Linked DNA regions of Caenorhabditis elegans. The protein of the gene in region 4 purifies or fractionates together with the protein of the main gene of each other region. This does not show direct contact. Each region holds a gene or a part of one and is shown on either strand. Other genes may lie near its edges. The genes, in order: Y53F4B.39, gst-10, pgm-3 and gst-42.

What was found.
Region 1: the proteins of gst-42 (region 4) and Y53F4B.39 fractionate together in Caenorhabditis elegans (co-fractionation; one large-scale study listed by BioGRID). This does not show direct contact.
Region 2: the proteins of gst-42 (region 4) and gst-10 fractionate together in Caenorhabditis elegans (co-fractionation; one large-scale study listed by BioGRID). This does not show direct contact.
Region 3: the proteins of gst-42 (region 4) and pgm-3 fractionate together in Caenorhabditis elegans (co-fractionation; one large-scale study listed by BioGRID). This does not show direct contact.

Annotation. Positions count from the first base shown.
Region 1 is NC_003280.10:15,107,007-15,117,880, forward strand, and holds Y53F4B.39 (Beta-lactamase-like protein 2 homolog), read left to right. Parts: upstream 1-3,137; 5' UTR 3,138-3,145; coding exon 3,146-3,243; intron 3,244-5,161; coding exon 5,162-5,293; intron 5,294-5,347; coding exon 5,348-5,620; intron 5,621-8,371; coding exon 8,372-8,858; 3' UTR 8,859-9,313; downstream 9,314-10,874. Other genes in the region: wshc-4 (HEPN_LA2681 domain-containing protein), read left to right, coding at 145-674, 1,849-2,002.
Region 2 is NC_003283.11:2,558,822-2,566,703, reverse strand, and holds gst-10 (Glutathione S-transferase P 10), read right to left. Parts: upstream 5,015-7,882; 5' UTR 4,999-5,014; coding exon 4,962-4,998; intron 4,913-4,961; coding exon 4,718-4,912; intron 2,530-4,717; coding exon 2,129-2,529; 3' UTR 2,059-2,128; downstream 1-2,058. Other genes in the region: Y45G12C.1 (Nucleotid_trans domain-containing protein), read right to left, coding at 594-654, 713-844, 892-1,020; str-154 (Serpentine receptor class r-10), read left to right, coding at 5,965-6,156, 6,205-6,298, 6,368-6,446, 7,207-7,338, 7,389-7,527. UniProt on the Caenorhabditis elegans protein: Conjugation of reduced glutathione to a wide number of exogenous and endogenous hydrophobic electrophiles. Responsible for approximately one-third of 4-hydroxy-2-nonenal conjugation.
Region 3 is NC_003282.8:8,722,064-8,729,511, reverse strand, and holds pgm-3 (Phosphoacetylglucosamine mutase), read right to left. Parts: upstream 3,791-7,448; 5' UTR 3,789-3,790; coding exon 3,692-3,788; intron 3,637-3,691; coding exon 3,443-3,636; intron 3,397-3,442; coding exon 3,050-3,396; intron 3,006-3,049; coding exon 2,657-3,005; intron 2,581-2,656; coding exon 2,342-2,580; intron 2,278-2,341; coding exon 1,969-2,277; intron 1,924-1,968; coding exon 1,806-1,923; 3' UTR 1,452-1,805; downstream 1-1,451. Other genes in the region: otub-3 (OTU domain-containing protein), read right to left, coding at 74-388, 439-771, 825-1,034; F21D5.9 (C2H2-type domain-containing protein), read right to left, coding at 4,810-4,891, 4,942-5,237, 5,285-5,464.
Region 4 is NC_003284.9:11,724,452-11,731,053, forward strand, and holds gst-42 (putative maleylacetoacetate isomerase), read right to left. Parts: upstream 3,486-6,602; 5' UTR 3,346-3,485; coding exon 3,279-3,345; intron 3,229-3,278; coding exon 3,164-3,228; intron 3,120-3,163; coding exon 2,946-3,119; intron 2,855-2,945; coding exon 2,774-2,854; intron 2,725-2,773; coding exon 2,588-2,724; intron 2,164-2,587; coding exon 2,043-2,163; 3' UTR 1,813-2,042; downstream 1-1,812. Other genes in the region: D1053.2 (Histone-lysine N-methyltransferase, H3 lysine-79 specific), read left to right, coding at 3,700-4,054, 4,109-4,215, 4,290-4,292; D1053.3 (Ras family protein), read right to left, coding at 5,412-5,544, 5,940-6,094.

The DNA.
Region 1 (10,874 bases), on a different chromosome or scaffold from region 4:
ATGAATTTTCGGATTTTAAAAATTAATATAAAATCAGGGAAATTTTTTTGAATTTTTTCACATCGATATTCGGCATCAGGGGCAAAATTAGAGTCAGAAACATATATTTCCCCACAAACTCTACTCCCCCTTTAAAACTTGCAGATCGGCAACGCGATCTCCCTAGTCCGAATGTTGTGCCAAGCGGCCCGCGAGAACGGCCTAACCCGTCAGGATCTATTCCCCCAAGTGAAAAAATACATGGACGACCTGGAATCCAATACCCGATCACTGATCTTCACGAATCGCCCCGACTGCCCAATTAACTCTACAAAAATGCACGCGGCGTATCGGCTCGGTTTGGTTAAAGAAATGTTCGAACGAGTCGCCGAGCATCGGAATTACACTAAAATGATGTGTGTCGAATTTAAAAGTCTTTTGATGAGATCGAAACTTCCTGAGGATCGAGTTCAAGTATTGGACTACTTCCATGGAATTATTCCAGCACTTACCTTATCTCATATTAATTATATGATGGCTCATGAGAATCGAGTGAAGAAAACGTATGCTCTGAAGCATAATAAGGATCTTGTCGTTACTGATGATGGTTTTGCGGCTGGTGTCGCGTTTTTGTTGCATATTTTTGATGGATGGGATTCGTTTTTCAAGTTGAACTGGTTTGATAGCTATGCTATGTGCGTTTTAAATTAATTTAATTATTTTGAAAAAAAAAAAAAAAAAAAACGTCTAAAATTTTGGAAAAAAATTAAAAATTATTAAATCGTTTTCAACTGAAAATTTCAAAAAAGTTAAAAAATTTATAAGTCCAGTCAAATTGGCAAATTGCCGGAATTGAACAGTTCCGGCAAATTGGCAATATTTAAAAATTTGCCGGTTTTAAATTCCGGCAATTAAAGATTTCTGGAATTGAAAATTTCCGGCAAATTATCGGAAAATTGTCCGATTGGAAATTTCTGGCAAATCAGCGAAACGGCATTTGGCGAAAATGAAATTTACCGGCAAATTTTTCGGGAAAAAACGGAAATTTCCGGCAAATCGGCAAAGTGCCGAAATTGAAACTTTTCGGTAAATCGCCAAAGTGCCGGAATTTATAATTTCCGTCAAATCATCGGCAAAATGCCGGAATTTATAATTTCCGGCAAATCGGCAAATTGCCGAAATTAAGAATTTCCGGCAAATAAGCAAATTGCCGGAATTTATAATTTCCGGCAAATAAGCAAATTGCCGGAATTTATCATTTCCGGCAAATCATAGGCAAACTGCCGGATTTGAAAATTTGCCGATTTTAAATTCCGGAGATTAAAGATTTCTGACAAATTTTCCAAATTGCCGAAATCGATTTCCGGAAAATCGAAAATTTGCCGAATTTTTTTCAGACAAATTTCTTAAAATCCCAGTTTTTTTTTTTAATTTTCGAGAAAAAAGCCTGAAATTGTATGAAATTTATTTTTTCTTACAATTAGAAAAATTTTAAAATAAGTTTTTTAACGAAAAAGCTTAAAAATTCTGTAAATCTTATAAAAGCACAGTTTTTTGTTGAAATTTTCAAAATTTTAAAATTCTGAAAAAAAATTTCTTAATATTTTGAACAGGAAATCTGGAAAATCTGAAGTTCTAAAAAAATTTACAAATTATTTTTTCGCCAATTTTCAAAAATTGCAATTTATACTTACTTTTCTTGGTAAAACCAATATTAAATTGCGGGAAGAAATGAGCTTTATAAAAAATTCCGAATTTCTCTCAAATTAGTAAAAATTCCAACAAAAAATGTTTTTTTGAAATTTTTGAAAACATTTTTTCAAAAATATTTTTTTTTTTAAATTCTCAATTCTACCTTCCTATTTTCAGCACAAAAGAGCACGAAATTCGTTCACAATCGGAAAGCCGCGAGTACAGTCAGGCAGTACAGTTGAAAATCGAACGACTTCAGACGGAGCTCAAAATTCTCACAAATTTCAAAATGAATTTCGGCATTCAGCACACCATTTTCACGATGAATTAGGTCAAACTACAGTATCCCCCCCCCCCCCCTCACAAATCGTTGCGGGACCCACATTTTTGCTCAAAATTTCATTTTTCTACCGTCTAACACTTGACTTTTTTTCCCCATAATACCGATTTGTTCGTTTCTGTTGTTATCAAATGCTACAGTCTAGCCACATTTTCTCATTTTACTCCCCTTATATTTGTAAAATTGTTTAGTTTGTTTTTTTTTCGCCTGGAAATCGATTTTTTTGCGAATAGTTGAAAAATTTTGGAAAATTTAGAAAAATTCAGAAATTTTAGTTTTTAGTAATTTTTTTAAAAACTTTTTCAGTCAAAAATACTGAAATTTCCGGAATTTCAAAAAAAAATTATAGAAAAGTTTCTTAAAATTATAGCGTTTTGTTGAAATTCCCGATAAAATTGGTAAATCCTGGAAATTCTAAAAATTAAATTTTTTATCCAAAAAATTCAGCTAAACAGAAAATTGTTTGAACTTTTTAATTAAAAATTCCCGATTTTACAGAAAAAGTCAAAAATTTTGAAAAATCGTGAAAATTCTAAAAATTCGATTTTTTTATCGAACATTTTTTTGAGAATCCCAAAAAAACTGAAAAAAATAAAAATTTTAATTAAAAATTTCAGATTTTAGCGAAAATTCTCAAAAATTTTGGAAAAATAGAAAAAATTTCAACTTTTTGATTAAAACTCCCAGATTTTTGCAAAAATTCTCAAAATTTTGGAAAAAAAACTGAATTTTTTCTCCAAAAAATCCTATTTTTGTTAAAATTCTCGAAATTTTTCGGAAAAATCCTAAAATTTCCAATTTTTATCCAAATTTCCATAAAAATCGATTTCCAGCGACTTTTTATCATTACCTAGTTTTTAGTTTTTTTTTGTTTTGAATATTTTTTTCTTTTTTTTCCTCAGCTCCCAATTTTTAAAAACTATTTTAATTTAATATCGTCAATCCTCTCCTGTCACCATTGTTAATGTTTTTTTTTGAAATTTTAATTAAATTTCTACCATTTTTAATCCATTTTTCTCTATCCGATCGATTTTCCATGAAAATTGGTCCTAAAACGACCTAATGACCTATATTTCTGAATCACCCAGAGGCGGGGGCGGAAACATAGATGAGTATCTCGTAATTCAGAACACGATGACGGCGTACGTTGGACGAGCCTGGACGATGCTTCGTTTTTATACGGATTTCGCATACGCCGGTGTTGCCTATTTGGTTAATTCAAAGGCACATAGGTTGGTTTGTAATTCGGGGTCTTGGCGCGAAAGTTTTTTTTTTCAAAATTTCGGCTTTTTGTGTCGATTTACGAGCTTTTCCAGGCTTTCTCGACGATTTTTTTTTTGAATTTTCATAATTTCGGTTTTGTGCCGATTTACGAGAATGACAAAGAAAATTAGGAATTTCAGCTCTTTGTGTAGTTTTACTAGCTCATTAATTCTTTGGTAAATTTTGCCTCTTTGTGTCGATGTACGAGCTTTTTCAGGATTTTTCCACGAATTTTTTTTTGATCTTTTTCCTGAATTTTCGAAATTTCGGTTTTCTGTCGATTTACGAGAATAGTAGAAAATTAGAAATTCCGGCTTTTTGTGTCGATTTACGAGCTTGTGTTCAGTTATTTTTTAAATTCAAGTCAAAATTTCGGATGCCAGTGTAGATTTACGAGCTCATTTTTTGGTGAATTCTGACTGCTTGTGTCGATTTACGAGGTTTTTTCTGACTTTTAGAAATTGTTGTGTTAATTGATAATATTTTTAAATTATTCAATTTTTAAATAAATAATTTAATTCCTAAATTCTGAAAAAAACCAGTGCTCGTAAATCGACACAGAGATGCGTAAATCTACAATGCCATGATTAAAAAAAAACTATTTTCCAGGATGTATGATATTGTTTCTCATGAATCTGAGAAAAATTGAAAAAAAATTCCGCTCGTAAATCGACATCCAGCTGCGTAAACCTACAATGATACCAAAATTTGTTCCCTAATAAAGACATTTTTTTTTCTGAATTTTCTCTGAATTTTTTAAGAAGACTACTTTTTTTTGAATATTTATTAGTTTTAGGGGGCTTTAAAAAATTTTTAACAAACATTGTAAATTGCCGATTTGCCGGAAATTTTCAATTCCGGCAATTTGCCGGTTTGCCGGAAATTTTCAATTCCGGCAATATACTGATTTGCCGGAAAATTTCAATTCCCGCAATTTGCCGATTTGCCGGAAATTTTCAATTCCGGCAATTTGCCTTTTTGCCGGAAATTTTCAATTCTGGCAATATACTGATTTGCCGGAAAATTTCAATTCCCGCAATTTGCCGATTTGCCGGAAATTTTCAATTCCGGCAATTTGCCTTTTTGCCGGAAATTTTCAATTCTGGCAATTTGCCGGTTTGCCGGAAATTTTCAATTCCCGCAATTTGCCGATTTGCCAGAAATTGCATTGTACTATACAATTGCATTATCAATACATTCTGACTTATCGCCCAAGTCACAAAATTGCAAAATTCCATTGGCTGACACCTAGAAATTGGCAAACATCATCATTTAAGTGTAGCCAACTGACTACAGTGTTCCGAAAATAAGGGAAATTTAGAAAGAGAGAGAGAGATAGACGAAACAAGTCACAGAACGATTATCGATCACTTTTCAGTTGGTTTTCTTTAATTCTTCATAGTTTCCCATTTGAAACAATGTCTCGAAATTCAGTAATTTTTCCGGAAAAAAAGTTAAATCAAATTGGTTGTAAAGTTTTGTATTATTTAAAAAAATTGTGCATTTATTAACAATCAGAACCTGTAAAAGTTGGCAAAAATTGAAAAAAAAGTCTCCGTAAATCGACAGCTAGCTGCGTAAAACAACACTGATTGGAGTAGATTTAGACTAGATTATGACTAGATTTAGGAATTAAAGAATTAAATTATTTAAAATATATCGAAATAACCGAAACTAAAACTGAAATCTATTGCGCAACATAATTGACGCGCAAAATATCTCGTTGCGAAAACTACAGTATCTCTTTAACTGACTAATGTAGCGCTGGTTTTGATTTTCGGGCAATTGCAGTTTCGAATTTACTCTGCAAAAAAAATCACAAATTTTGCATAAAGCACTACACTTTTTTCAAAACTTCTCTGAAAATCTCGAAATTCTTTTTTTCAGAGCCATGCCAAGCCTCACTCACGTGGAGCCCATCGAGAAGCTCTCCGACGCGGTCACCAGAATTCTCGGCCACAATCCCGGCCCCTTCACTCTTCAAGGAACTAATACATATCTACTGGGCACTGGTGCAAAGTAGGCAGCAATATTCTGAAAATTTTTAATTTCTAATCAAATTTTTTCTTTCAGAAAAATCCTCGTGGACACTGGTGAGCCGAACGTCACCGAGTACATTTCGGCACTGAAATCAGTTCTCGCATCTACGAATTCCCACATTGAATATATCGTTATTACGCATTGGCATGGCGATCATGTTGGTGGAATCGATAATATTACTGATGAGATTTTGGATAAAAAGAAGATACCTATTTATAAAATGAAACGGGACAAGGATGAGGGTGTCGAGAGATTTCATTATGTTGACGATGGGTTTGAGGTTGCAGTTGATGGAGCCACGCTGAAGTGAGCATTTATCATTAGAGAATTGGTTTTATTAGAAAAAAACCGTAGTAGTACTGTAGGGATACTGTAGTTCCGCTGTAGGTGCACTGTAGGTATGTACTGTAGCATTAAGGAGGACTAACGGTTCGGACGATTTTGACCGTATAGACCCAAAATGAGCTCAAATGAACGAATTTCGTAATGAAACTGCTCAAAACAATTTTCAAAAATTTTTTATGGCGTTTCAAAATTTTGAAAAAATTGAAAAAATGAATTATCGTCCTTTATTACATATATTGGTAATTAATCTCATTTAATTTCGTCGATTAAGGTACATTTAAAGCCGTTAGGTAACCAAAAATCATCGAAATTGGTTACCTATCGGCTTTAAATGTACTTTAATCCACGAAATTAAATGAGATTAATTGCCAATATATGCAATAAAGGACGATAATTCCAAAAAATCCAACTTCGGACAGATGTGACACGAAAAAATGGGAAAAACTCATGATTTTAGGTAAAATCAGTGTAATTTTTTCAAAATTTTGAACCGCCATAAAAAATGTTTGAAAATTGTTTTGAGCAGTTTCATTACGAAATTCGTTCATTTGAGCTCAATTTGGGTCTATACGTTCAAAATCGTTCGAACCGTTAGTCCTCCTTTAGTAGTACTATAGTGATAGTGTAGGGTTACTGTAGGTATATTATAGGAGTACTGTAATAGTGCCGTAGGGGCACTCTAGTAGTACTATATGGGTAGTGAAGGAGTTTTGTAGAGGTACTGTAGGTATATTTCGGTTGTACTGTAGTAGTATTATAGGGTTACTGTAGGAGTACTTCAGGGGTACTGTAGTGATATTGGGAGGGGTGGGTACTGAAGTAGTGATATTGGGGTACTGTAGTAGTACTGTATTTCTAGAAACAAATTAATTGTGTCTTTTTAAATGAGTAGTGTTGTAGGGGGTACTGCTAGAAATCGATTTTTTGTTGTGAAAATTTGGAAAAAATTGGAATTTTCTGAAATTTCAAATTAAATGCAATTTCAGTTACCATCTGTTATTTTTAAGAATTTTTGATTTTAAATTCCTTTGAAATTTTCTATATTATTTTTTTTTCCGGGACGATTTTTTAAATTCCTAATTTTTGTCGAAAATCTCCGAAAATAATAAGGAAAAAACCTTAACAATTAATGTTCCTCAAAAAATACCTTGAAATCTCAGTTTTTTGTTGAAATTCTCAAAAAAAAAAAGGATCCATATTTTTTTTCAAAAAGGAATTTATGAATACAAAATTTTTTGAACGTTTGTTCCAAAAAAATGTGTTAGTACAGTAGTGCCGTAATGGTAGCAATACTGTAGTAGTAGTAGTACTGTAGGGGTAATGTAGGGACATTGTAGTAGTATTATAGGGGTACTGTAGTGGTACTACGGAGGTACTGTAGAAGTTCCGAAGGTGTGCTGCATTAGTACTGTAGGGGTACAGTAGTACAGTAGTACTGTAAGTGTACTGGTACTATAGCTATTTTGTACGTGTACTGTAGGTATATTGTAGTTGCACTATAGTATTATTATAGGGGGTACTGTAGTGGTATTGTACAAGGCTGGGATTTTTTTTTGAATTTTTTTGCCATTGTAACGAAAAATTGATTTTTTTGTTTGTTTTTTTAAGACCGAAAAACCAAAAAAAAATGCATTTTTCACGGTAAAAAAATTAATTCAAGTATCAAATTTTTTGTTGGTTTTTTTTTGATTTTTCCCAAATTTCAATTTTTCTTGGTCCAAAATCAAAACGAAACACTTATTGTTTTTTGATCCCAGCCCTGAAACTGTGGTATTAACTGTAGTAGCATAGCTCTTTTTCAAAAAAATTGAATTGCCATGAGAAATTTTTTTTTGGAAATTTCAAGATATATCAATTTAGCCTTTCTTCGAGTTATTTTAAAAGTGGTGTAGTCGAATTTTTTTAAATTTCTTTATTGGACTCAAAATTGTCTGAAAACACCGAATTTCATAATGAAACTTCTTGAAAACTTTTCAAAAAAAAGTTATGGCCTCTTGAAAAATGGCCTAAAATTAGTGAAAATTTGAAATTTGACCGACTTATCATTGTCGCAGCGGCTGGAAACAATTTTTTTTTGAAATTGTCGTCTAATTTTGGGTATACAGGTCGATTATCTTGCATTTTCAGCTTTATTAAGGTATTTGAAAGTCGATGGACGAAGAGAATTGATGAAAAAAATTTGACAAATCTCTTCGTCCATCGACTTTCAAATACCTTAATAAAGCTGAAAACGCAAGATAATCGACCTGTATAGCCAAAATTAGACGACAATTTCAAAAAAAAATTGTTTCCAGCCGCTGCGACAATGATAAGTCGGTCAAATTTCAAATTTTCACTAATTTTAGGCCATTTTTCAAGAGGCCATAACTTTTTTTTGAAAAGTTTTCAAGAAGTTTCATTATGAAATTCGGTGTTTTCAGACAATTTTGAGTCCAATAAAGAAATTAAAAAAAATTCGACTACACCACCTTTAAAATAACTCGAAGAAAGGCTAAATTGATATATCTTGAAATTTCCAAAAAAAAATTTCTCATGGCAATTCAATTTTTTGAAAAAGAGCTATGCTACTACAGTTAATACCACAGTTTCAGGGCTGGGATCAAAAAACAAAAATTCGGTGTTTTCAGACAATTTTGAGTCCAATAAAGAAATTAAAAAAAATTCGACTACACCACCTTTAAGCTAGTCCATCTTTAAACATTAAATTTCCAGACTAATCGCCACTCCAGGCCACACCGCCGATCACTTCTCTCTGTGGCTCCAAGAGGAACGAGCATTGTTCAGTGGAGACTGCATCCTCGGCGAGGGAACTACCGTCTTCGAGGATCTTCATGACTATATGACTTCACTGCAAAAGATCAAGGATCTCAATGCGACAAGGATTTATCCGGGTCATGGTCCGGTTATCGATAAGGTCGTGGAGAAGGTTGACGAGTACATCGAGCACCGAATGAAACGAGAACGCGAGATTATCAAAGTGCTCAAAGAGCACGAGGAGATCACCAGTATGGATGTGACTAATCAGGTTTATGCTGACTCGCCGTGGGCTGTACGACTGGCTGCGTTGAACAATGTGAAGCTCGTGCTGAAGAAGCTTTGCAAGGATGGAGTCGTTGAGAATCCGCATTTTGAGACTTTCAAGTGGATTGGAGGCAGTAGTAGTGGAGAGGAGAAGAAGAATGAATCGTCGAATTTGTAGAAAAAAAAAATTATTTTTTGGAATTTTAAATATTTAATTCGCTCTTTATGTGTTTTCAAAATGTAGAATTTACGATGTTAATTCGAACTTTTCATAGATTAAATTTAAGTTTTAACCTACCTATATTTGAGAATTCCAAAAAATCTCGAAAATATTCATTTTTTAAATTCGAAAACCATATTTTTTCGAATTAAAAAATTCAAACTTCTGGAAAAAATTTGAAATTTTTAATTTTTTTTGTTTGATTTTTCAAAAAATTTCCGGAAAATTAATTTCAGTACCAATTTTTTCAAAATTTCGAGTATTTTTCGAATATCTCGAAGCGGATTTCGAATTTTGAAAATTAAGGAAATAATTTTTTTTATCTCCAAAATTTCCAAAAATTCAACCTTTTTTATCAAGGTTTCCCGTGTGTATAGGATACAATAGATATATAATAAATATTTTATTGTCAATCTGTTTTGCCTAATTTGTATATTTGGCCCACCAAACGGGTAATTCATACATGCTGAATTTAATAATAGAAATTTAGAAAATCAATCAAAAACTATTAAAAAGTGGCAAAAATGGCCAATTTATGGCAAAAAATCACAATTTGAAACTCCTCTAAAATGGTTATTTTTAAAGTTAGAGGACTCAAAATTGATTTGCATACACAACAAAATTTCCCTTTTTCAATTTTCAAAGGTTTCGAACGTTTTCAGAGAAAATTTTTTTTTTGCCCAAAAAAAAAGGCAAACACTCATTGACTACCTTCTCTTTGACTACCTTTGCTCATTGACTACCTTTTGCTCATTGACTACCTTTCGGCTCATTGACTACCTTCAGTTGCTCATTGACTACCTTTATCTAATTTTTCAGAATTTTCAGTTTTTTTCGCTAAAAAATCAGAATTTTCAAAAACATGTTACTTTTTGATGTCTAAGAAGGTCGTGCACTTTCTCATTTCCTGAAATTCCGGAAAAAATGGAGATGAGATCTGATGTATAAATGCTCATTGACTACCTTCAAATGCTCTTTGACTACCTCTATCTAATAAAATTTTCCAAAATTTATTTTTTTGAAAATTTTTCAAAATTTGATCAGATATTATAGAAAAGTGCAATTTTTGTCGTTTTTCTAGTTTGGATGTTCTGCACACTATTGCAGACGAAAACCTGAGGTAAAGTAGAACCCCTAAGCTCAAAAAACGCACTCACTTCGGATGCTGATATCTCCGTGGGAAAATTTTTAAGACAAAGTAATAAACTACAAAGTTGTATATCTTAATCTAAAGTACAAGGTAGTCAATGATATGAGGTAGTCAATGAGCAAAGGTAGTCAAGGCTGGGAGTGTGTTTAGAAGTGACCTTTGCAGTCCTCAATACCATTAGAGAAAAAGTAAAAGTCAATTTTCCTCACGTTATTAAAAATAAGAAAAAAAAAAAAGAAAAAAAAAACAATTTCTATCCCAATTCTTTTCAAAACTACAGTTTCGGCTCGATATACCAATGAAAGAGCACAGTGTAAACTTATTTTCAAAGTTCTCACGGCGACTCCAATCACTCTACATCAATATAAAACTGAAATTTTAAAAAGGAACCCCAAATGAAAGACAGCGTATGAATTTCACTAAAATACCAACCGATGACTAGTGATTTCGATCCCAATTCTTTTTAAAACTACAGTTTCGGCTCGATATATCAATGAAAGAGCACAGTGTAAACTAATTTTCAAAGTTCTGATGGCATCACCAACCATCAAATTACATCAATGTCAACACATCAAAATACAACGGAACATTTGAAGACTAGAAGGCCACTCGAATGAGTGTTGAGTGGGCCTCGAGAACCACCATCGGATAACACCTCGAGCGCAATCAACGGTTGGATTGTCCTGCTCTTGTCGACGAAGGACATACAAACGGAAAACCACAGTAAGTTTGCCAGAAGGATCATAAACAGTTCACAAGTCAATAGTATTCTAGGACCTTCCCCCGAATTAGCAGAAAAATAAAAAGAGTTGCCCAGGAACACA
Region 2 (7,882 bases), on a different chromosome or scaffold from region 4:
GTCAAAATATCAAAAAATAACCAAAAAAGTCCCAGCTCTGGTCCTAACGTGCTCCAACAGTGGTCTTATAGTATTCTCACAGTTATCCTACAGTATCACTATGGTACTTCTACAGTACTCCTACAATAGTCCTATAGTACTCTCTCAGTTATCCCACGGTATCACTCAAACACCTACAGTAGGTCTACAGTATCACTATAGTCTTATATAGTAGTCATACAGTAATCTTGCAGTAGTCGTACAGTCCTACAGTATTCGTAGAGTAATCCTACAGTGATCCTACTACAGATCCTACTACTTCTACAGTAATCCTACAATATTACATTAGTATTTCTACAGTAGCCCTATAGTACCCTCACAGCTATCCTACAGTATCACTAAAGTACCTCTACAGTAATTCTACAAAACAACTACAGTAGGTCTACAGTATCGCTATAGTCTTATACAGTAGTCCTACAGTAGTCTTATAGTTGTCCTACAGTATTTCTACAGTAGTCCTACAGTATTACTACAGTAATCCTAAAGTATTCCTACAGTAATCCTACCGTAATCCTACAGTATTTCTACAGTTCCGCTGAGCCATGGAAACTCACTTAAATCCTCCAAAGTGCTCAACCAAGTGCAATTGAACCGTTTTCCAACAAGTGTAGCATTCTGAAATCCTTTTTTTTAATTTTTAAATTTTTAAATGTAAAATTCCATTATTTAAAACCTTTGGATTTCTATAACAAAAATCATAAGATTTCCCAGTCCAACTTGAGATACATTCGCATTCTTTATCAATTGGAAGCGCAGGCGTTGAAGCTTCCAAAATTTTGAATTTAGGATTTTTGATATAAGTTGTCTGAAAAAAAAAACTTGAAAATGTTGAAATTTGTATTTTAAACTTACTTTATTAGTTTTATAGCAAAACAAAAGCAGCGCTATGAAACTGAATGTGGCGTAGGAGAGCACAGTCTTTGCCTTCATTGTGTCATTGATAAGAAATGTGATTTTTATCATTCGTTTTGTGATCATCATTATTAAGTTTTGGTGATGTAATCACTCAAATTAGATTGAAACAAGGTTCAAAAAATCGGAAATAAAATGTTTCTGAGAACTTTTTGAAACAAAAATAACGACACTTCGCTATCCCAAAAGAGACAGAAAAGTTCGTCCTACCCACATACATTCTGAATTATTGAGCACGGCTAAACATATTTTGTCGAGCCCGGTGTGAAAAGACACTTCCTTTTTTGTTTTAAAACCGGAACAAAAATCTAGTTAACAAGTCTTTAGTCTTCAGTCAAGGATTTTGCTGCGCTAGAGGGGTTTTTATTTCGAATTCAATTTTAATGGGTATGTGCCTGTGGAAAAAATAGTGGTGAAAAAAATTAGGAATTTTGGCAGAATTGATATGCCGTTGAATAGGCAATTTTTTAAATATTATGGGTACGTTTTTGGACCTGGAAATTAAATTTCAGCCTCGCTAGAGGGGTTTTTACTTTGAATTCAATTTCAACAGGTACTAACTAGATTTCGGATTCGGTAACTAGAAAAATTTTGGAATTTTGGTAGAATTCTTATCGGGTGCGGTAGATAATTTTTTTTTAATTATTATGGGTACGTTTCTGGGTCTAGATATTCGATTTTGGCCGCGCTAGAGGGGTTTTGGTTTCCAATTCATTTTTTACAGGCATATGACTGTAGCGTTGCCAAAATCGAATTTCTAGACCCAGAAACGTACCCATAGTATTAAAAAAAATTATCTACCGCACCCGATAAGAATTCTACCAAAATTCCAAAAAAAATTTTTTGCAAAAAACTGTTAATTCAGGTGAGCAAATTAAAATGCCTTCTCAAAAATAAATTTTCGAACTGCATTAATTTTGAGCCTCTACGACAAAAACTCCAAACTGAGAAACAAAAATAAAAATATATCCAGAGCTTGGCCCTTTCTAATTGTCTGGAAAATTGAAAAAAAAAGCATAAAAGTTTTTGAAAAACGCCATAAATTTTTGAAGATTTTTTTCTCATATATAGGGCAAAAAATTCACAAAAGCTACTCCCGTAAGTTGCTTTTTAAAATAATATCCATTTATTTGTCAACATAGATTCGAAAAAAAAAACATTTGCATTTTTAAAGCAATCAGTTCATTCCCTTCTCAATCGCGTTGATCCAGACTTTGTCGGCCTTTCTCTTTTCGAGATACGCGTTCAAATTCGGTCTCTTCCACATTCTTTCCCAGAACGACTTCAGAGTTGGGAATTTGTCTAGGATATTCGCATCCAAAACGTGGTAGACGTCCAACTCCTCGAAGAGAATATAGTCCGCATAACTAATCTTGTTTCCAATGATGAAGTCTCCGGAATGAGCTTTGAAAAGCTCTTCCAACTTCACTAGAGCCTCCGGGATGGTTTTGTTGACACAATCCTCGCGGGTTCCCTCGTCGTAGTAAATGTAACGGACGTATTTCATACGAACATCGCGGACTCCCTCGAAGAACATGTCGAGGAAGGTTGCCTCTTGCTCGTTGGATCCGTTCAAGCCTGAAATTTTTAATTACATAAAATAGATCTGTGACGTCATAATACACTATATATATCAGGTTGTCCCATAAGTTTTTGTACTTTTTTTCAAATATTTTTCCAAAACTTCTAGAAAGTTTAAAAATTTTTTCATCGTAGGTCGTGTCAAGGTCGGGTCTTCCCCTTTCAGAAAAAATTCATTTCATCCATTTCTACTTTGCCACGATGACAATCATCAAACTTGAACGTCGAGACGTTAGATTGCTTCTTCTTTATGAATTTCGTCTTGGTCATTCAGCAATGGAAGCGGAACGAAACATATGCGGTGCGATGGGTGAGGGAGCACTCTCTTATAATACAGCAAAGAGTTGGTTTCAAAAGTTCAAGAACGGCGACTTCAGTCTCGAAGAAATAGAACGTTCTGGGCGACCGGTAGAGTTAAATGAAGAAGACCTAGTGAAGCTGGTGGAGGAAGAGCCTCGTCTTAGTCTTCGTGAAATGGAAGAGAAGCTTGAGTGTTGTCATAGCACAATTGCACGTCACTTGGGTCGCCTTGGTTTTACTTCAAAACTTGGAATTTGGGTGCCTCATGAACTTTCGGCATCACAGAAGCTCACTCGGGTCAACGTTTGTACTCAACTTCTAACTTTTCGTCGAAAGTTCGATTGGCTGAACAATCTGGTTACTGGAGATGAGAAGTGGGTGCTCTATGTTAACCATTCCAGAAAACGTCAATGGCTTCCGATCGGTGAGAAAGGAATACCGACGCCAAAGCCTGATCTTCACCCAAAAAAGATTATGATCTGTGTCTGGTGGGGTGTTCAAGGACCCGTGCACTGGGAATTGTTGCCAACTAATAAAACTATCACTGCTGATTACTATTGTGCCCAATTGGACCGAGTTGCAGAAAAGACCAACGGAAAATATGAAAAACTATATTTTCTTCACGATAATGCTAGGCCTCATGTCGCCAAGAAGACTTTCCAGAAGCTGCAAGATCTTGGTTGGACTGTTTTACCGCATCCACCATATTCTCCAGATCTTGCACCAACCGACTACCATTTGTTCTTGTCTCTCAGTGACTACATGCGCGACAAGCAATTCGACGACGAAGAGCATCTCAAAACTGAACTCTCCACTTTCTTCTCATCGCGTTCGCCGGATTTCTTCTCCCGTGGCATCATGATGTTACCTAGTAAATGGCAACAAGTGGTGGACACTAATGGTGAATACTTGTGTGAATAGTACTACTTGTCGCTTGAGAGAAATAAATTTTTTTCAAAAAAAAAATAGTACAAAAACTTATGGGACAACCTGATATATATATGATATAAATAGAAAAATTTTAATTTCCCGCCCAAATTTTTATCAGAAAATTGTAATTTCCGACCAAAATTATTTTCTGAATCAACTAAAATTTCTCGCCAATGTTTTCAATGAGATTATTTGAAGTTCCCGCCAAAATCTTTCTCAAAAATTTGAATTTCTTGTCGCAAAGTTTTTTTTTTTTGGAAAAATTGAAATTACGAAAAAAAAAAATTAAAGAAAAATGTATTTTTCCGCTTAAAGTTTTTTTCAGAACATTTGAATTGACTGAAGAAAATCTTCCTCAAATATTTGGATTCCGCGCTAAAATTTTTCAGAGATAATCCCGCCAAAATTGTATTTTTTCTGAAAGAATTGAAATTTTTCGCCAAATGTTTTCCCGATAAACTGGAATTTTTTTTCTAAAAAACATAAAATTTTTGCCAAATGTTTATCTCAGAAAATTTGAATTTCCCGCAAAATTATTTTTTTTCTGACTATGAGATAAGTTGAATTTCTAGCCTAATTTTTTGCATAAAATTTGAGTTCCCCGCCAGAAATTGTTTGTACTAAAAATTTGAATATCCCGCTAAATTGTTTTTTTTCCGTAAATATTGAATTTCCCGCCAAAATTGATCCTTATAAAATTTGAAATGTTTTCTGAAAAAAATTGAAATTTTCGCCAAATATTTTTCTCAGAATAATTGAATTTCCCTCAAAAATTTGACCTGAAAATTTTTCTAACTTCCCGCCAAAAATACTTCCTGTTGTGAAAATTTGAATTTCCCACTAAATGTTTTCCGAAAAAATTGAAATTTCCCCCAAAATATTATCAGAGAAAATTTGAATATCCCGCCAACAATCTTTCCTGAAAAAATTCGAATTTCCCGCCAAATCTCCTTACCATGAACTCTTCCCAAATGACGCATAATTGCTCCAGTCTGCACAATCTCTTGCCCGTCCACCTTCAAGCATGGCAACTGACCAAGGAGCATTCCTTTTTTAAACTCTTGCCATTCATTCCCCTCGTAGTCGAACCGAATGTCTTCGAATTTGATACCATTGTCGAGGAACAGAAGACGGATGTATTCTCCGAATCCTGAAAAATATTGAGCTTTCCAAAAATGCAAAACTTTAAAATTTCTTACCTCGAATAGTGAAGTAGTAAAGTTGTGGCACGGCCATCGTACGAGCTCTTATCGTTTAGGTCTAATGGCCTCTACTTTTATACCAATTTGAATTGTCATCAACATAGATTAGACATGGGTAAGCATGAAGAGATTTAGAGAAAAAAACACGCGTGTTTCGACGAAACTAGACCGATCAAAGATTGAGGGAAAACAATATTTTACTTTGACAAACACAACCTGAATGGGGACACTGAGTACTAGTTTTTAATTGGTGCATTGGAACATTATTTTTGCAGCGCTATTATAGAGAAAATAGGATAGGATACCGTATATCCTCTATTAGTAAGGCGCCTCTATTAGTTTTGCATCTAAAATCACTCATCAAAAATTAGTTTTGATTGAAAAAATGAAAGATTTCTATGTCACCAGTTCTAGAAAACTCTTCCACAACCAAAAAATCTCGGCCATCAAGTACTTTCGATAAATTCGAGTGGTCCAGTGTCATTGTTATAGACAATTGAAGAAGTCGCTTCAGAGGAGTCGGAACTGGGCGAAGCCTGTTTTGGAGCCCTCGCCGCCGCCCGTTTCCTGGTCAATGCACAGATGGGCTCTTTCGACCAAATCGTCATACTTGGCACAAAATACGTTTCCCTGTCCTCTGGGCTCGCAAAGCTCTAATACTCCAAATTTTCGGATAAACCACCCTGCATATTATAAGTCGATATCACACAGATGATTTGCGTTTGGTCAGTCGCAGGTGTAATTTGAAGAACCAGACACGCAGTTTAGCACCTGCGACACATCAAACGAGAATCATATACAAACTGCAATTACAAGGAACAAGGAAGTATAAAATGAATCATTCTTCTAAATTGCAAACTATAATTATAAACTCTATATATATATGAAACAAATCGGCTTTCTTTATTTTTTTAAATTTCAAATAACTTCTAACTTCCAGAAACACTTTCTCCAAATAACTTGCTCCGTGGCTTTCTCCGGTTAAATTTCACATTTGGAAATGAGAACGTTTTCCTTAATAAAATCAATAACTCAGCCAATTGCCGCAGTACTGTCTGTTGTGGTAAATTTCATTCTGATTACCCTTGTAGTTACAAGTTCACCGCGGAAAATGGGAAGCTACAAGTATTTGCTGATATACTGCTCAGGCTTGTCAATTGCATATGCAGCATTTCATTTTGTTGCAGCACCCGTAAGTTGTCAGTGTTGAAGCGTTTTTTTTTTGAATGATTACTTTCAGTACATGTTTAATGACGACTCAACTGTAGTTATTCTTGTGGATTTGAAGAGTAATATGCTAGAGAATCATCCAGATGTCTTGAAGTTCACTGTTGGTGAGAGAACTGTCTTTTAAATTGAAATTTAAAAAGAAGCAATTTTGATTTTTTAATCATTTTTTTCAGTTTCCGGAGTGGCATTTTTTGGAACAAGTATTTACGCTATAGCAATCAACTTCATATATCGCTATTTTGCCGTTCAAAGGTACTGTATCATTAGTCAATTTTTCAAGCTTCATATACAATTAACATCACTTCTACTTTTGATAGAAAATTCTAGGAAAATCAACAAATAAACTAGGGCACGCTCTCCTCAAAATCGAATAATTATTAGAGCGCGCTTGCTACGTTTCGCGTTTCTGCATCCGCGGTGTTTTGCCGTTCCACTGAAAATTGCAGATTTTTCAGATTTATCAAATTTTGAGCTTTAATAATTTTTTCTGCATTTACGATCAAGCCTTTTGTTAAACAATGAAAATCGAATTTAAAATTACTAAAATGAAATTTTTTCGTCCACTGGTTGAGAAAAGGTTAAAAAAAAATCAACAGGATTTTTCTAATTTTCTAAATATTTTTCAATTAAACATCGGGTTTTAAACATTAATGACCCTAAACATTTGCGATCCTAGTTATAGTCAAAAATGTGTTAAAAACGATTTTCAATAGGAAAATATTTAGAAAATAAGAAAAATCCTGTTGATTTTTTTTAAATTTCAAACCATTTCTCAACCAGTGGACGAAAAAAGTTAATTTTAGTCATTTTAAATACGATTTTCACTGTTTAACAAAAGGTTTGTTCGTAAAATGCAGAAAAAATTTATTAAAGCTTAAAATTTGGTAAATCTTCAATTTTCAGTGGAAAGGCAAAACACGGCGGATGCAGAAACGCGTAGCAAGCGCGCTCTAATAAATATTCGGATTTGGAGTACTTTAGGGTGTAAGAATGGTAAATCAATATTTTTCAGAGAAGGCCGCCTCCGATACTTTTCAGGGTGGCGTCTTATTTTCTGGATTCTCCTGTCCATTATTGGTGGAGCCATATTAGGGCTAATGTTTTATACTATAGGTTCTCGTCAGGAAATTTCAGACGGTTTGAAGTAAGTTAATTTGAAAATATGTACGTATAGCGTAATACTTGCTACCTTAGAGTGAGTTTGGAAACTTTGTATGATTTGAATATTAATCGCATATTGTATTGTACATTTCCGTATTGGTTGCCCACCGTTGAAAATCAGGGATTGACAGTAAAAGATATTATGGCAAATTTGGCAATTACGATATCAATGGTAACATATTTCTTTAGTATACAGTGCCGGCCAAAATAGATCCAATTTTCGATAAATTTACAAATTTTTCAAACAAACACAACTTAAAAACTGGGCATGCTATCAAAAAAAGTTCAACTAATGAAGTATTGTCCATAATTACGTCTACTTGTATTCAACTGTTTAAATTGTTTACCAGTGTCATGACAAGAAATACAGCGGCCGACATCTCGTGAGCCCGTTTTTGACAACTTTTACTGATTCGCCCGTATCTCGAAAACTAATTTTTTTTTCTGGAAATGTTTTAGAAGTAAAATAGTCTGCATACTACTTGTTATCATTTGTGCTTACTCACTTTGTTCTGAAAAATCCAGCA
Region 3 (7,448 bases), on a different chromosome or scaffold from region 4:
GAAAATAGTGGCGAAATTATTATACCTAGTAACATGATTCTCTATATTTTTTTCAAATTAACAAAATTCTCACCACAATAGTCTTCTCAAAAATCATGGAACACGCCTTCAACTCGAGTTCTCCACCCCATACTCCACCAATTTCAGCGACATTTTCAACTCCACCGAGATATGTTGCCCATGAAGAATCACTATCCATATTTGCCATATCCTCAATGAAAGGCCGAAAATCTTCGCTGTGCTCACGCATATAAGTACCACATCTCTTGCGAAGTTTTCGTACAGAAATCTCGATTCCTTCTTCTTGAAGTTGATGAGAAATTGCATTGTACATACAATCACCATCTGCTGGAATATCGATCATTTTCATGTGATCTTCTGCGAGCATCTGGAAATGATTGTGAAATCGAAGCTTTAAAAATGTGTATTTCAACGTACCTCTTTAACAGCTGCTTTCTCCATTTGTCTATCCGAAAGTTGATTTTTTCCCGCTTCCTTATCGGCTGCTTCGGCAGCCTTCATTTTGTCAGCGGTTTTCTTTTTTTTATCTTGTTTTTTTGCAGCTTTGTTTGAAATCTTCACAGTTTTGTAGAATGCCGACGACGATGGTCCTTCTCCATCATTATCCGATCCTTCTGGATTTGGTGAAGGTGGTGATAATGTAGAAGCTTCTGGATTTTCAGCAGGAACGGCTTCCGATTCTTCTGGCTTCTTTGCTTCTTCGAGCTCCTTTTTGTGACGTTCATCCATTTCTTTTTCCATTTTCTCGCACTGAAACAAGACATATATTCGGCATTTTTTTAATAGTTTTATATCAAACCAACCTCAGCACCGGCCTCTTTTTGCATTTGCTTATTCCCGCATTTTGCCGCCTTCTTCTTTGCCAATATTTTTCCTGGAAGTTGTTTTAATCGATCGAGTGGTGACGTGGATTTCGACTGGCGTGATTTTGGTGATGATTCCCTCTTTTTAGTGGGAGTATGTTCATCATCCGGGGCCAAATAGGTTCTGTTTCGTTTTGGTGTGCCCGACATAATGAATAATGGGAATTTGTAGAAAAATGCGAAGAAGTAAGTGAAAGACTACGGAACTGGTTGATTGAAAACTATCAAGAACATTTAAAAAACATCCGCATAGTTTTCAGTATTGGCGGGTAGATCAAAAAAAATGTTTGGTTGTACATTTCAAGTCTACTTGAAATATTTTTCTCTTTTAATGTCAAAATTACCTCTCAACTCTTTCTTTTCACGCCGATGCCGTGCTAGGATCGGATTTTCTTCATCCTGCTCACCATCCGACGACATTTTTAAATCGATTGAAAATTTGTTTTGCGGTCTTAAAATTAGGAAAATGTTTCCATGGAAATTTCCACAAACGAAAATTTCATAACGAAAGTACAAAAGAAATTGTAGACTTCTTATTGAACAACGAGCTAGAATACCCATGATTTTATATCGAAACATTCATTTTTACTCAAGATGAAGTCTCAAAACGAGAATCTTCAATTCGTCATCACTCTGTTATCTAGTTATCACAATTTTTCAATATATTTTAAAGCATAGGGGAAAGGGCCAATGATGTGTTTTAATGAAACCAGGAATTTACTTTAAAACCGTTGAAAGTTGATATAGGGAAATGGGGAAACCAGTAGAAACTCATAAATGAATTTTAACAAATAAATATGGGAATATGAAAGGGAAAAATTTAAAAAAAACTTTGGGAGATTATGCTGAAAATGACTAAACTGAAGGGATGAATAAAAATACATTGTGAAAACTCGAGACTACATATGGAATTTATTTTCTTCAGTTCGAGTTGCAAAGGTTGAGAACGACTTGTTCGAGAGATTTTCCGAGTTGCAATGTATTTTCAACAGTATCCGCTTCAGCGTATACGCGAACAATGTTCTCGGTGCCAGATGGTCTGAAATCGATTTGAATATGAAACAAAAACTTCAGATAAGATTACCTGATGAAAGCTCTCGAATTATTGTACTTTGCAACATCCGTATCAATCATTTTTTGAATTCCAACAGGTTTCACAAGAGTTTGCTCGGCGTTCGTCGTTTTGAAAATGGAACGATCAATAACTGGAACTTTGATCTGCACATTCGGAACATCTCGATACAGTTTTTCGGCCCAGTCATCCATAGACCATCCATAGTGACGGAGAACAGCTTCCACGGCAAGCAAATCTGCAAAAGCATCCCCAACAGTTTCATTGATGACACGGGAGAAAAGTGCTAGACGACGGAGAGGTAATGATTCAGTTGGAGTTCTGAAACAATTCATTTCTATATTTGAAAAAAAAGAAATTTATGAAGCTGTTTAGTCTCCTATACCTTCTGATGATGCGGTCGAAAATCTCGCTGAAAACAACAGTTCCGTGTCCGTTGGCCTCGAAATAAATTCCAATGTCGAACTCAGAAGCAGCTTCATGCAGATGCTTGACTCCAGTAGGTACAATAATTGGCTCAATACCCAACTTTTCACGAATGTAGCGTGTTGAACTTCCATTCGCATATGCTGTTTGAACAATACCAAGGCGGAGACGTTCCATCGGAGTGGAATTTTCGTAATCCTAGAATGATGCATCATTGAAAACTTCACACTCAGTTTATTCATAATTTGATAACTATTATTTTGAAATAAATCACCTTCAGTTGCTCCCGAATGTATGTGACAATCAGAACTGCAATTTTGTCACCGTCGAACAGCTCAGCATCGTTTGATTCCGAATTTTCTGAAGCCTTTGCACGGAAGTACATCAAGCGATCGGCATCTCCATCAAATGAAGCACATTTTGGTTCTGCTGCTGTCGGTGAGAAGTTTGCTGGTAACTTTTGCGAAATCTTAACGAAATCGGCACCACATCCCTGATTCAGTTCTTCCGATTCATTACGAAATTCAACTTCCAGAAGTGATGATGGGATTCGCTCAAGAAGATTTCTGAACCGTGGAGCACCGACTCCGTTTGCGCAATCGACAATGACTTTTGGTTGATATCTGAAGAATACTTTTTTAATGGCAAGTTTTTCTCTGAACCGTACCTCGAGTCTTTGGGTTCCTCAGTTATTTCATACAGCTTCTTGAACGAATCGGCGATTGCAGAATAATATCCATCGTGAGTTGGCTCTGCGAATTTTGGCTCGTTGAATGCCTTGACAGCATAATGAAGCATTGGAGTCGACACAACACCGATATCATCGAATTGTACATTGAATAACGCTGCACCGGCTCTTGCTGCATTCATCAGACAAGGACCAGAGCAACGTGTGTCCATACCACAAACGACACGGGAAAGTTGGGTCTTTCCGACTGAAATTTGTTTTTCAAGAGCTCGAACTGCGGCTGGGAGCTCGGCATCAGTAGCATTCACAACTTCAGTCGCGTATATCTGTAGAAAAAAGGTTTCTGTGCGTTTTTTATTTATTTTCACTAACCTCCCACTGCTCATTGAGCATATCGCCACTTGGATCCACTAATTTCACACCATTGTCACATGATGGATTGTGTGAAGCTGTAATCATCACTCCGATAGCTGAGTTGAGCTGCCGCGCACGAAGACTCGCAACGTAAGCACACCGGAAGACGATGAATGGAAGCTTCTCGGACTTGAATCGGAATCCAGCAGTTCCTGAAATAGCAAACTTTGAAAATGATAAAAGAAAATATTTTATTTTTAGTCGTACCATACGAGAATTTCTCATCGTCTTGAATGGCATGCACATTACCGCTGTGAGTTGTGTTACCGGCACGTGAATATTCAACTGGAACAGTGAGATCCATTTCTGAAAAAAATTTGGATTTCGAATTTTAAATACGTAGAGAAATAAGTCGACAGAACCAATAAAATGTATTAAATCAGATGAATCTAAACTACATGTTGATTTACGGCGCTAAACAACGCCCAAGACGTTATTTCGGAGCGTTGTGCGGAAAAGAGTTCTAAACGCGTTTTTCCTTTCCCACCAGAAAGTAAAAACGTTAAATAAACGAGTATATTGATCATAACAGGGCGTGTTAATGAAAAATGATGATGAAGTAATAAACGTTCAACTGATAACAAGCGGAAACAAAAGGTATGATTATATTCACACTGAGACCAGAAACAATGTTTTGAAAAAAGAACATGGAATTGAAAAATGTCGGTGCTGTATGTGTTTTATTTTCTCATGGAAAATGTTTAACAGGACGCGGGAAACAAAGATCAAACTTGTAGATCGTAATTTATGATTCAGATTAAGAAAGTTTCGCTAAATACTAAAATAGTTTTCTAGTATAGTTTTATTACTCTTTTGAATAATTTTTAGAGCTGAACGGAATATATGGTGTTTCTTTAAAAAGTATAATTAGGAAAAAAAATGAACTAACATTTCGATGGTACGGTTTCCAGGCGCGCACTGTTGCGTGAGTTCCGGGTCTCACAGCGATCATGAGCACTGTAGAAATTTTCAGGCCTATTCATGATTGAGGCCTTATTGTGGCTGAAAACTCATTTTTGTTAGAAAAAAATTCAGTTGGAATCATCCGTCCACTAAAATTATTTTTTCTAGAATTATTCCTTTCTCGATGAAAATTGTTCGAAGAACAGCATTGGTCTACCACATCTTGTAAAAAATTGGAAAAAAAAGTATATCAATAAGATTTTTCATTGAAAAGAGGAAATTCTAGGAAAAAAATTATTGCAAGAAAGAGAAAAGACAGAAAAAGAGAAATCACTGGAAAAACGTTTTGAGACAAATAATAAATATTAAGTAGCTAAATAATAAAATTCTCGGAGAAAAAAAAGGAAAAGTTATTTTGTTTCTTATTGACGAAGATCCGATTTTCTCTTGAACTTGCTCTTTCGATGATTGTTACGCATATGTTGTACTAAGTCACCAGTCAGTCTGAAATCAAGAAAATTGGATTCCAGAACCAAGAGCTTTGTAGTATTTACCTGAAAACTGCTCCACATACAGCACAACAATTTTCATTAACCAAAGAACTGCCAAGAGCATTAGCCACAAGTGGATTGTTCATTGTAGAAGGTACAGTAACCCCAGAGCTTGATGACGTGGAAGAGGAGGAACTGGTTGATGTGGTTGCACGGGGTTGCTGGACACGTGGAAGAGGTACAGTAATCGGTGCTGGTGAAGCATGGCATAATGTGGAAATGAATTGGCGGCGTGCAAACTCTTCCATTTGACGTTGTTGTTGAAGGCGAATCATTAGGGGTGCAAGTTGAAGATAATTCTGAAAAATATTATTTGTGCATTTGGTACAGTACTTGGATATATTACTTGAAAAACTTGGGGAAACTGAATTTGTGCAGTCTTGGAAGTGCAATCAAGAGGTGTCTCGTCTGGAGATTCTTCATCTTGAGTCTGTAGGTTTGTTCCAGGATCTTCCCGGTTTTCAGACACTTCTGAAACTGCGGGATTCCAGATTCGAAACTTTTTTGCCATTGGACCATCTGCCATTCTTAGTTGAAAAAATGACGTTGCAATCCTAAAACAGGAATTTCAAAAAACATTTCTTAGGTATTTAAAATATTTCGAATGGAAAAGCACCTAGAATTCACAAAAAATACAGATTTCTAAACTAAATTAAACTTCAGGAAGATGATTGAGAATTACAGTAATTCATTAGTAGACAGATTGTTAGTACCGCCTGTTGACATCAATCTGATTGAAGACGATGAGAAAGATAGGAAAGGAAAGATTGAATGAAATGCAACGGAAATGTGTTAAAATTAACATAAAACTGCATCAATGTGTTCTACGGTAATCTTTATGTTGTTTTCTGTGTTTGAGTTGATCAGTATCAAGTGAAAAGAATCCGCTATGTTCCAAATCATTAATGCATACCCGTTAATACCGTATATTGTTAAAATCCTAATAATCAATCCCTGATATCCCGAAATTGTTGTATACACTATACATAATAAAAACTGAACCAATGTACAAAAAAGATCGGCCTCTGCATGTAAAAATTCTACAAAATCTCCTCAAAACCTTTCACAATCTTATTTATCGTCATCAGGTGCCTAACGACTCCGCCCCTTTCCCCCGTATTTTCCCAAATAATATTATTCTGTTATTCCCCGTATTTTCGCAAGTTACTACGGTAGTTTGATGAATATTTATAAAGTTTGGAAGATGGGGAGTAGGTATTTTGAATATCATTGGACGTAGAAGAAGATGATAATTAGGCACCACACCTCACATCCACAGACTCCTGAGAATATGTATGTGGAAGGTAATGAATATGAGCAGTTGGTGTATATGAACATTATTATTATTATTGAGTATTGAAAGTTATGAATAGTTTGATAGAATATATTGGTGTAATGATTTTTTGTTACATAGCAAAATTGATGGGATTTCCGACAATGCGAAATCGTTGAAAATTATAATAATGAAAATTATATATAGACATGTCGAAAAAAAGATACCCATAAGGTGACACAGTTGCGTAATACCGTTTATGTGACTGCGACACCTTATTTTCAAGCTTCTTAGTCAACCTTAATCCTACCCTTCACCATCTGTCATTTCTTTTCATATAATGTTTCCCAATCCTTTTGACAGTCTTAAAAGGTTTACGTAACCGACATGAACAACATGTTCAATTGAGTGAACAGACGGTTGGATGGACAGGATTAGGTTAAGGATACGGAAGTGTCTTGCACCTGCCTAGAAGAGGTGACGAGAAGAGGTGAAGAAATGAAGATGCCGATGAAACGAAACCAGATTTTGAAAAAGAAACCGGAAGTCAAAATTGTTGAACTGAGGAATATGAACTATAGATTCCAGCTAACAAAAATGAATACAAAATTATTTTACTAGATTTTCAGTCGAACAGTTTATAGCCATACTTTGGTTTTGAAACATGGCTTGGTTTGAACTAGGTAATCACAATCAAGGGACAAAAAATAACTCCCATTTCCTAAAAATGTTCGAGTTGGGTGAAAAACTTTCAGGTTTCTTCGAACAATCAAAAGATGTAAATATGATGTTTTCGAAATCTGAAACTCCTTAAAATCATCAAAAGCAGAAAGATCCAAATTTGCAGAAAATTTTTAGATGTCTATTTTTGAAAAAGAGAGAACGATTTGAGTTTGGCCGCTAAAATTGGTTGCATGGACTTTTAAGGCACAAATTTATTAGAAACCAACCTAATAGTAATTAATAATATGGTAAATCTATCAATGTATTTTTTGTGAAAATTTAATTTCGAATGATGCGGAGTTTTTAGTGATTCAAATGAAAAAACACGATCTACAAATACCGGAACATTTTCAAACCTATGGTTGTCTGTCAGCAATAAAATAAAAGTGACCTGACAAATGCATGGTCCATGTCTCAGAAATAAGACGGCATCCAGCTGTGTCAAAAGGTGTCAAATACCGTGAAGCGAGTAGAGGTACCCGCCCATCCCGCTAAACACATACATCTCAATTAC
Region 4 (6,602 bases):
AATGATAAGAACTAAAGCAAGCTTATCACTTCTACATATTAATTCTAAAATAAGTTTTTTTAACTTCAAAATATTCAAGCAGTTTGTTAACAGTCATAACACTGAAAAAATTAGGTTACTCAAAAAAATTGGAAAAAATAAAACGTTAGTAAACTTTTGTTTCTAATATTTCAATTTTTACTTTTTAAAACATCAAAATAGTGTTTTTAAATACTTTCAATTCACAAATGGAAAAAATCGTCAATTGCAAAATTCCGAATGTAAGTTGAAATTGAAGTGAGTAATAGTTTTAATAGAAAACACAGCATATTGCAAGAAAAATCGAGAAACAGTGGACATTGCATTGACTGACCTGTACCATGTCGAACCTCTTTCTCAGACTAAGTCTCTGCTATATTTGTATGAGTGGTAGTCTTCCGAAAGCTTATTAGATCGACTGCGCAGGAGGACGGGAACCTTTATGTTTGTTCAAAGAGTCACTTAAGAAAAGACTGCAGAAAATGAGGAAAGGTGAGCGAAAATGGAAGAATGATGAGAAATTGAGACGAGAAGGAGGTCAACTGAGTTCGTATGGTGTATCTTGACAACGAAATTTTAGAGCATTAAAAATCAAAAATGTACTGTGAATATAAAGGTATGTACTGAGAATATCTAATTTACTCAATTAAACATGTAAAAATTGAAACAATTGATGTGCTTACAAGTACCCTAAAATTCAAAGTTAAAATAATACCAAAAATTAGAAGAAAAACTTTTAAGTAATATTTGAATCATTTCAAATAAAAAGTGTATTGGATGAGAAAAAAAAACTGCAAAAAAAATTGTTGATAACAAAAGTGAGTTAATTGCAAAACGGGACAAGATGTTTTTTCCAAAACCAGGCAGCAGCAATATATCATCAACAGTTTCTCAACAAAACCGATTCTCAATAATGTTAACTTTTCACTTCAAACCAACGTCATTTTTATTTCACACTATGAGAAAAGTATGAATCATAAGTATTGTCCAGCAATTGAAAAAGAGAGAAGTATTGCACACTTGAAATTTATTGTACAAATAATTTGTAACTTCACTTGACAAAATGATTCCAAAATAATTTGATGTTCAAATCAATAAATGTGTTGTGTTTTCTTTTATATATAGCATTTTTATCAGTGCAGGCGTAACTTAAAAATGCCTTGACAACGGGAGGTATACACTTTGACAAAGTTGTCAAACATCACCCTTTATTAAACCTAATTCGTCACTCTTTTCCTCTTGATTCTGGTTGCATAAAGACAAAAAAAGCAGAAAAGGAGCTGCGAAGAGCGAGCCAGAGATAGAGAAAATGAGAAAAGTTGGAAATTGAACTTTGCAGACCACACTGACAAAGAAAAGAGGGGGAGAATGCGGGAGGAGAAGAGTGAAAAAAACGGATACTTTGATGAATCGAAAGGCCGGCTTGTGTTGTGGGTGGCAACCAACTAGTACTATGACTATGCCAACCTCGCCCGTAAAAACACGTTCTCTTTGCACGGAAGTCTTCCGAAAGTTCTCTAAAAGTTTCCATGACACAACATTGCCGATTGGGTTTTCAGATGCTAATCCCCAGGGATTGAGTTTGGTCATGAAGAGGAGGACAAAAAAATGACTTTTGGAGGCTTCCGGTCTGCAACTGTTTAACTTGAATTTCGAAACATACTTCTAAATAGGTAAACATCAAAAATTCTGTCTTCAAAGCAGGACATTTTTTTTGAACGCAAAAAAGTTATCAGTGGAACTCGCATACTAAAAAATTTTCCATTGGATATTTCGTTTGAATAAAGTTCAAAATATTTTTAAGAAATTAATTTATTTGAAAAAAAAACACTCAGTATGAAAACGAGAAAAGTTAGTTTACAAAGTTAAAAAAAGCAACTTGCTTTAGGATATCGCGGACATTTTCTGTTGTAAATTTATTATTACTTTTGTGCTAATTTAAGAGACAAAGAAACATTTTTTTTTAATTCTCAAATAGTTAACTCTTGTATGTCCAATCCAATAACGCAATCATTCATAAGAATCTAAGCATTGAGTCCGGTATCTGGTTGATTATCAGGATGAGCGGCAATAAAGGCGGGGATATCAGCAAGAGTCTCATTGATACGATTCACTGTTGGGTATGGCGACAAATCGAGGTTGAATCTGAAATGACGGTTTGATTGCGATCGGAACGATTTGGAAGGGAGGTTATTCTGATGGTTATCTGTGAATCTCTCATGTCTCATCCTAAACGCTCATCGCTTCCAATTCATGTTTGTTGAATGACTAATACATTTTGTTTGAATCAGGAATCCGATAAAAAGGTTGTTGCCACACAAGTGGATGTTGTTTTCAATAGGAATGTGTTTTCGTTTAAATCACTTGCTAAGATGATTCAGTAACTGTCTATGAAAAATTGGTCAGTGTTGTTTGAGGGTAACCCAAAAGGTGTTCAAATTTTCGAGGTTTTGAATACGCAAAATGTCAAACTAATACATTGAAATTCTGGATAGATTACTAAAACATAATAAATTTTCTCAAAAAGTTATCTATGTCCAAAATTCCCTGACCCTCCCTATAATCATACCGGTTAGCTGAGTAGATAAGTGGCGGGATGGAGAGATCCGCAATCGTGACGTCATCTCCGACAGCATACTTCCCAGAATGTTGCTTTAGAAGAATTTCAAGAGCAGTGAGACCTTCGACAACAAACTGTTTGGCAAACTGAAATTTTAAAAATTGAAAACATACATTGAAGATTCTGAAATTAAACCTGTCCTCCGAATCCTGCTTCTTTTTTATTCAAAAGTTGAAGAACCTTCAAATTGTGAAGAGGTTGAATTCCAGAAGCAACCTGTAAACCTCAAAACATAATTGTTACAGTTTTTGTAAAACAATAGCAGTATAAAGTTAAGAAAAAAACCAACTAAATACGTAAAACTTACCAAAAGAGAAATAGCTCTAGCGTGAGCTCTCTTGATTGGATCTTTTGGCAAAAGTGGAACGTCTGGATGCGTTTCTTCCAAATACTCAATAATCGCAAGACTTTCAGTAATTACTTGACCATCCACAACAAATGTTGGTACTTTTGCAGCTGGGTTGATTTCTTTCAGTTTGCTCTAAATTTTAAAATAATTTAAAGAACCGCTTGATTTTCTCTTACCTTAGCCTCTTCGGACAGCAAGTCGACAGTTTTGTATTCGTAGTCCACGTTTTTCAAAGCAAGCGCTGAAAATAACATTTTTGCTAGTTAAAATTGATATAATTAAAATACCAACCGATGCGAACTCTCCATGAGCACGATGATCTCCAATAAGAATACAGAACTGGCTTTTGGTTGGACATGTCTACAAGCAGAAAATAATTTTGTAAATTCTCAGAAAGAATAACTGATGATAATGACTAGTTGAAAAATAAACAAAAAGGGTCAAAGACGGAATGATGTCGAACTAACTGATAAGATTGGACGGTGTATGTCGACGAAATGGTTTTGTTGTTGTATATTGCAGACGCAGAACACTAGAGATAGTGTAATTGTGCAGACACACGTGGTCTTCTACTATACATTACCAACATCATATGTAGACCAAGAGAGAAATGCAGATTCAAAAAACATTAGAAGGAATAAGAAGAAGTAGACAAAACTATGGTAAGCCTTGGGCGATGCCTTGAGAGAACAAGCAGCCCACGACTTTTTTTATGAGGCTGCTCCCAACTCTTGCCCAAGCTGTACCCAAGTCATTTTTTCAAAGACAATATAAAAATACACAGTGCACTTTGATGTGCTTAAATGAAATTGAGAGCATCCAGGAACTATTTTTCAATTTAAACGACGTTGAGACACGTTCATTAAAAGCATATCTGGTGGATCGTATTAATGAGATCCAGACCCAAGCCACGGTGATTGTGGTGAACAACGTTCGTTTTTCGCCGGAGCTCAAGTTGGAGCTGAAAGAGATCTTGTCGAAATGCATTGACGGAACGCGGATCATTTCATCAGAGTCGATTGTTCCACGTCCCCGTTCTCAAAGCTCGACTTCTCGTCGTATCGATGGTAAGTTGAAACTAGGTGTTAGGTACATCAAAATACTAATTATATCTTTTTCAGATTTTGTGAAAATCACGGACGAGCGTCTTCTTCATCTTGTGGAAAACAATACGTCTTGGACTGGTGACAAAGTTCCGTTTTATCTCACTGAGATCAACCGCAATAAGGTAAGTTCGTGAATATGAGAAATATTTGCGGTTATGGGTTAAAATCAGAACTAATATTAATTAACTTTTTACAGTGATCGTCGACGCCCTTTCTTCTTCCCAACTCCTCTCTCATCAACGTGTCTTCGTGCTCGGGTCAACTTCTGATTTTCCGGTGTATTTTCTATTTAAGATCTCCCCTTCACTCCCTATAGATCTTTCATCTCCTTTGTTTTCCCCTCAGTCTCTTCTCAGTGCGTCAATGTAGCACGTTTATGATTTAAAAAACCAACTTCTTGCAATCTGTACTATCACTCAAGTTGGTCCAATAAATTGTTGTTTTTAAATCAACCGTCCTATTTATAAAACGTTTCAAAATGTCCTTCCATGTTAGTCTGTCCGTTCTCTGCTGTCCTCGCAAGTCTCTGAATCCCTCGTCGTTGTGATCCTAAAATCCGTCATCGATTTGTCCATTGAGTATTCTCAAAAAAGTTCCCATCAACGACATTTCTATTTCTGACCTGAATCAGTCGAAACGCAAGAGAGGTAAAGATCAGTCGACTAGGGATTGGGATGAAGCTGGTTCTAAAAACTGGTCTTTTGATAATCTGTCATTTTTCAGTGATCAATCCTATGTCATCCGTCTGGCTGCTTCAACAATGTCTACGCTGTAACTTCACAGTATACAACAAACTCTTGAAAAAAGTATGTTCCATTAGGTTATTCATTAGTTGGTATTGAGCTTTTCTTCTAATTGGACTGTAAAGTAATATGCAAAAAGTGATTAATGGATTTTTTTAGTCTTGTAAAATATTAATACAGTGAACTACCGCGCAAAATTTTACACATTTCAAGCATCGAAATGCTATTTTCAAATTGTTTTTGAATCCCTCTTTTAGTTAAGATTTCATCCAAAAATGTAATAGTGGAGAAAATGTTTATTTACAAATTATTTATTCCAATCTCAAAAATTAATAAAACACAAATACACAAACTACTGTTATAAAATCCAATTATCATCAATATCACAAGTTCACTGGAAACATACATTTCAAAATTACCGGGAGGTTCGGGGAGCTGACTAGAACTGAAAAGTTCACCAAGAAAAGAAACATTAAAATTTAAGTACAGTTGTGTTTCAGTAATTTTTCCATAATACGAAACAATGCATTATCTATTCCCATTTGAGATCAAACGACATTCCATATTTCCTCACATTACATTATGATGCACACTTTTGAATCTTCAACTTTCTCTCCTTTTTCTTTTTTACCATTTTTCTTTTTCTCATTCACTGCCTCGAATATCATATTCTCTCCCGATTTGTCGGATGATTTCGATCGTAGAATGCTGCAAAAAAAAATGAATTTTGGTGTTTACCAGCTTGTTCGCAGAAGTGAACAATATTTTTTGTTAAGTTTTCGTGACCATCTTCAAGTACTTGTTTGTTCTTAATTGTAAACTTGTTCAGTAAAAATTAAGAAATTCCAGGGGCCTTTAATATCAATTAAGTTAGAACAAAACATCAAGTAGCTCCGTTAATATTGATATTAGTATTATTTATGAATATAAAGGCAAACTTTCTGCCTATTTTTGAGAATATTTTGGCATATATTGAAAGTTTCTTACAATATTTTCTTGTTTAGAAAACTAAATTTTGACTTCCTGGCAAAAACTTTGAGCAGCTTTAAAAAATGTTTGCAAAAATTTCTCGGATAAGTTTGAGAGTTATTTAAAATACTTGCCTTGCAATTTTAGACATTCTCCGATTTCGCGTGGGACCAGATTTGTTGATGGACATAATCATTTGTGTTAATACTTTCTTTGCATCTGAAGAGCTACTGGAACTTATTTGCATAAATGAACACCGACTTCCAAGTTCCTGCGCCAGTTGTTCGCCCTGAAATTGAATATCAGCAGTTATAATAAACAATAAGTGCATTTATCTTGTCCTAGGGCATTGGACATTTTAACATAAGACTGCTCGCGACTATAAAATTTGATTGGATTTTTCACAAGTTTCTATTATAGGAAAAAATTTGATATCAAACTTTAAAAGCATATATTTTTTGCGGTGCTTCAAGTTTAGAGTAATCACGAGCGGTGAATAACCGCGATACGAGTCCACATAAATATGACCCACCCTATAAATTTCAATTTTCAGTTGGAATTTTTTTTGTTCATTAAATTCATATTTTTAAAAATACTGTATGCTTTTCTCTATCATAGCTCCAGAGACTATAATCACTTTATTGTGGCAAGTGCCAACAAAACAATTAAATATATATTTTGTTCCATGTGTGACTATTACGTATCTTCAACTAACTCAAAATAAAATATTTAAAAATATACTCGCATTTTCTATCGGTGTGTTTTAACTGCAACTCGGAAGTTTTTCAAAAATAAGA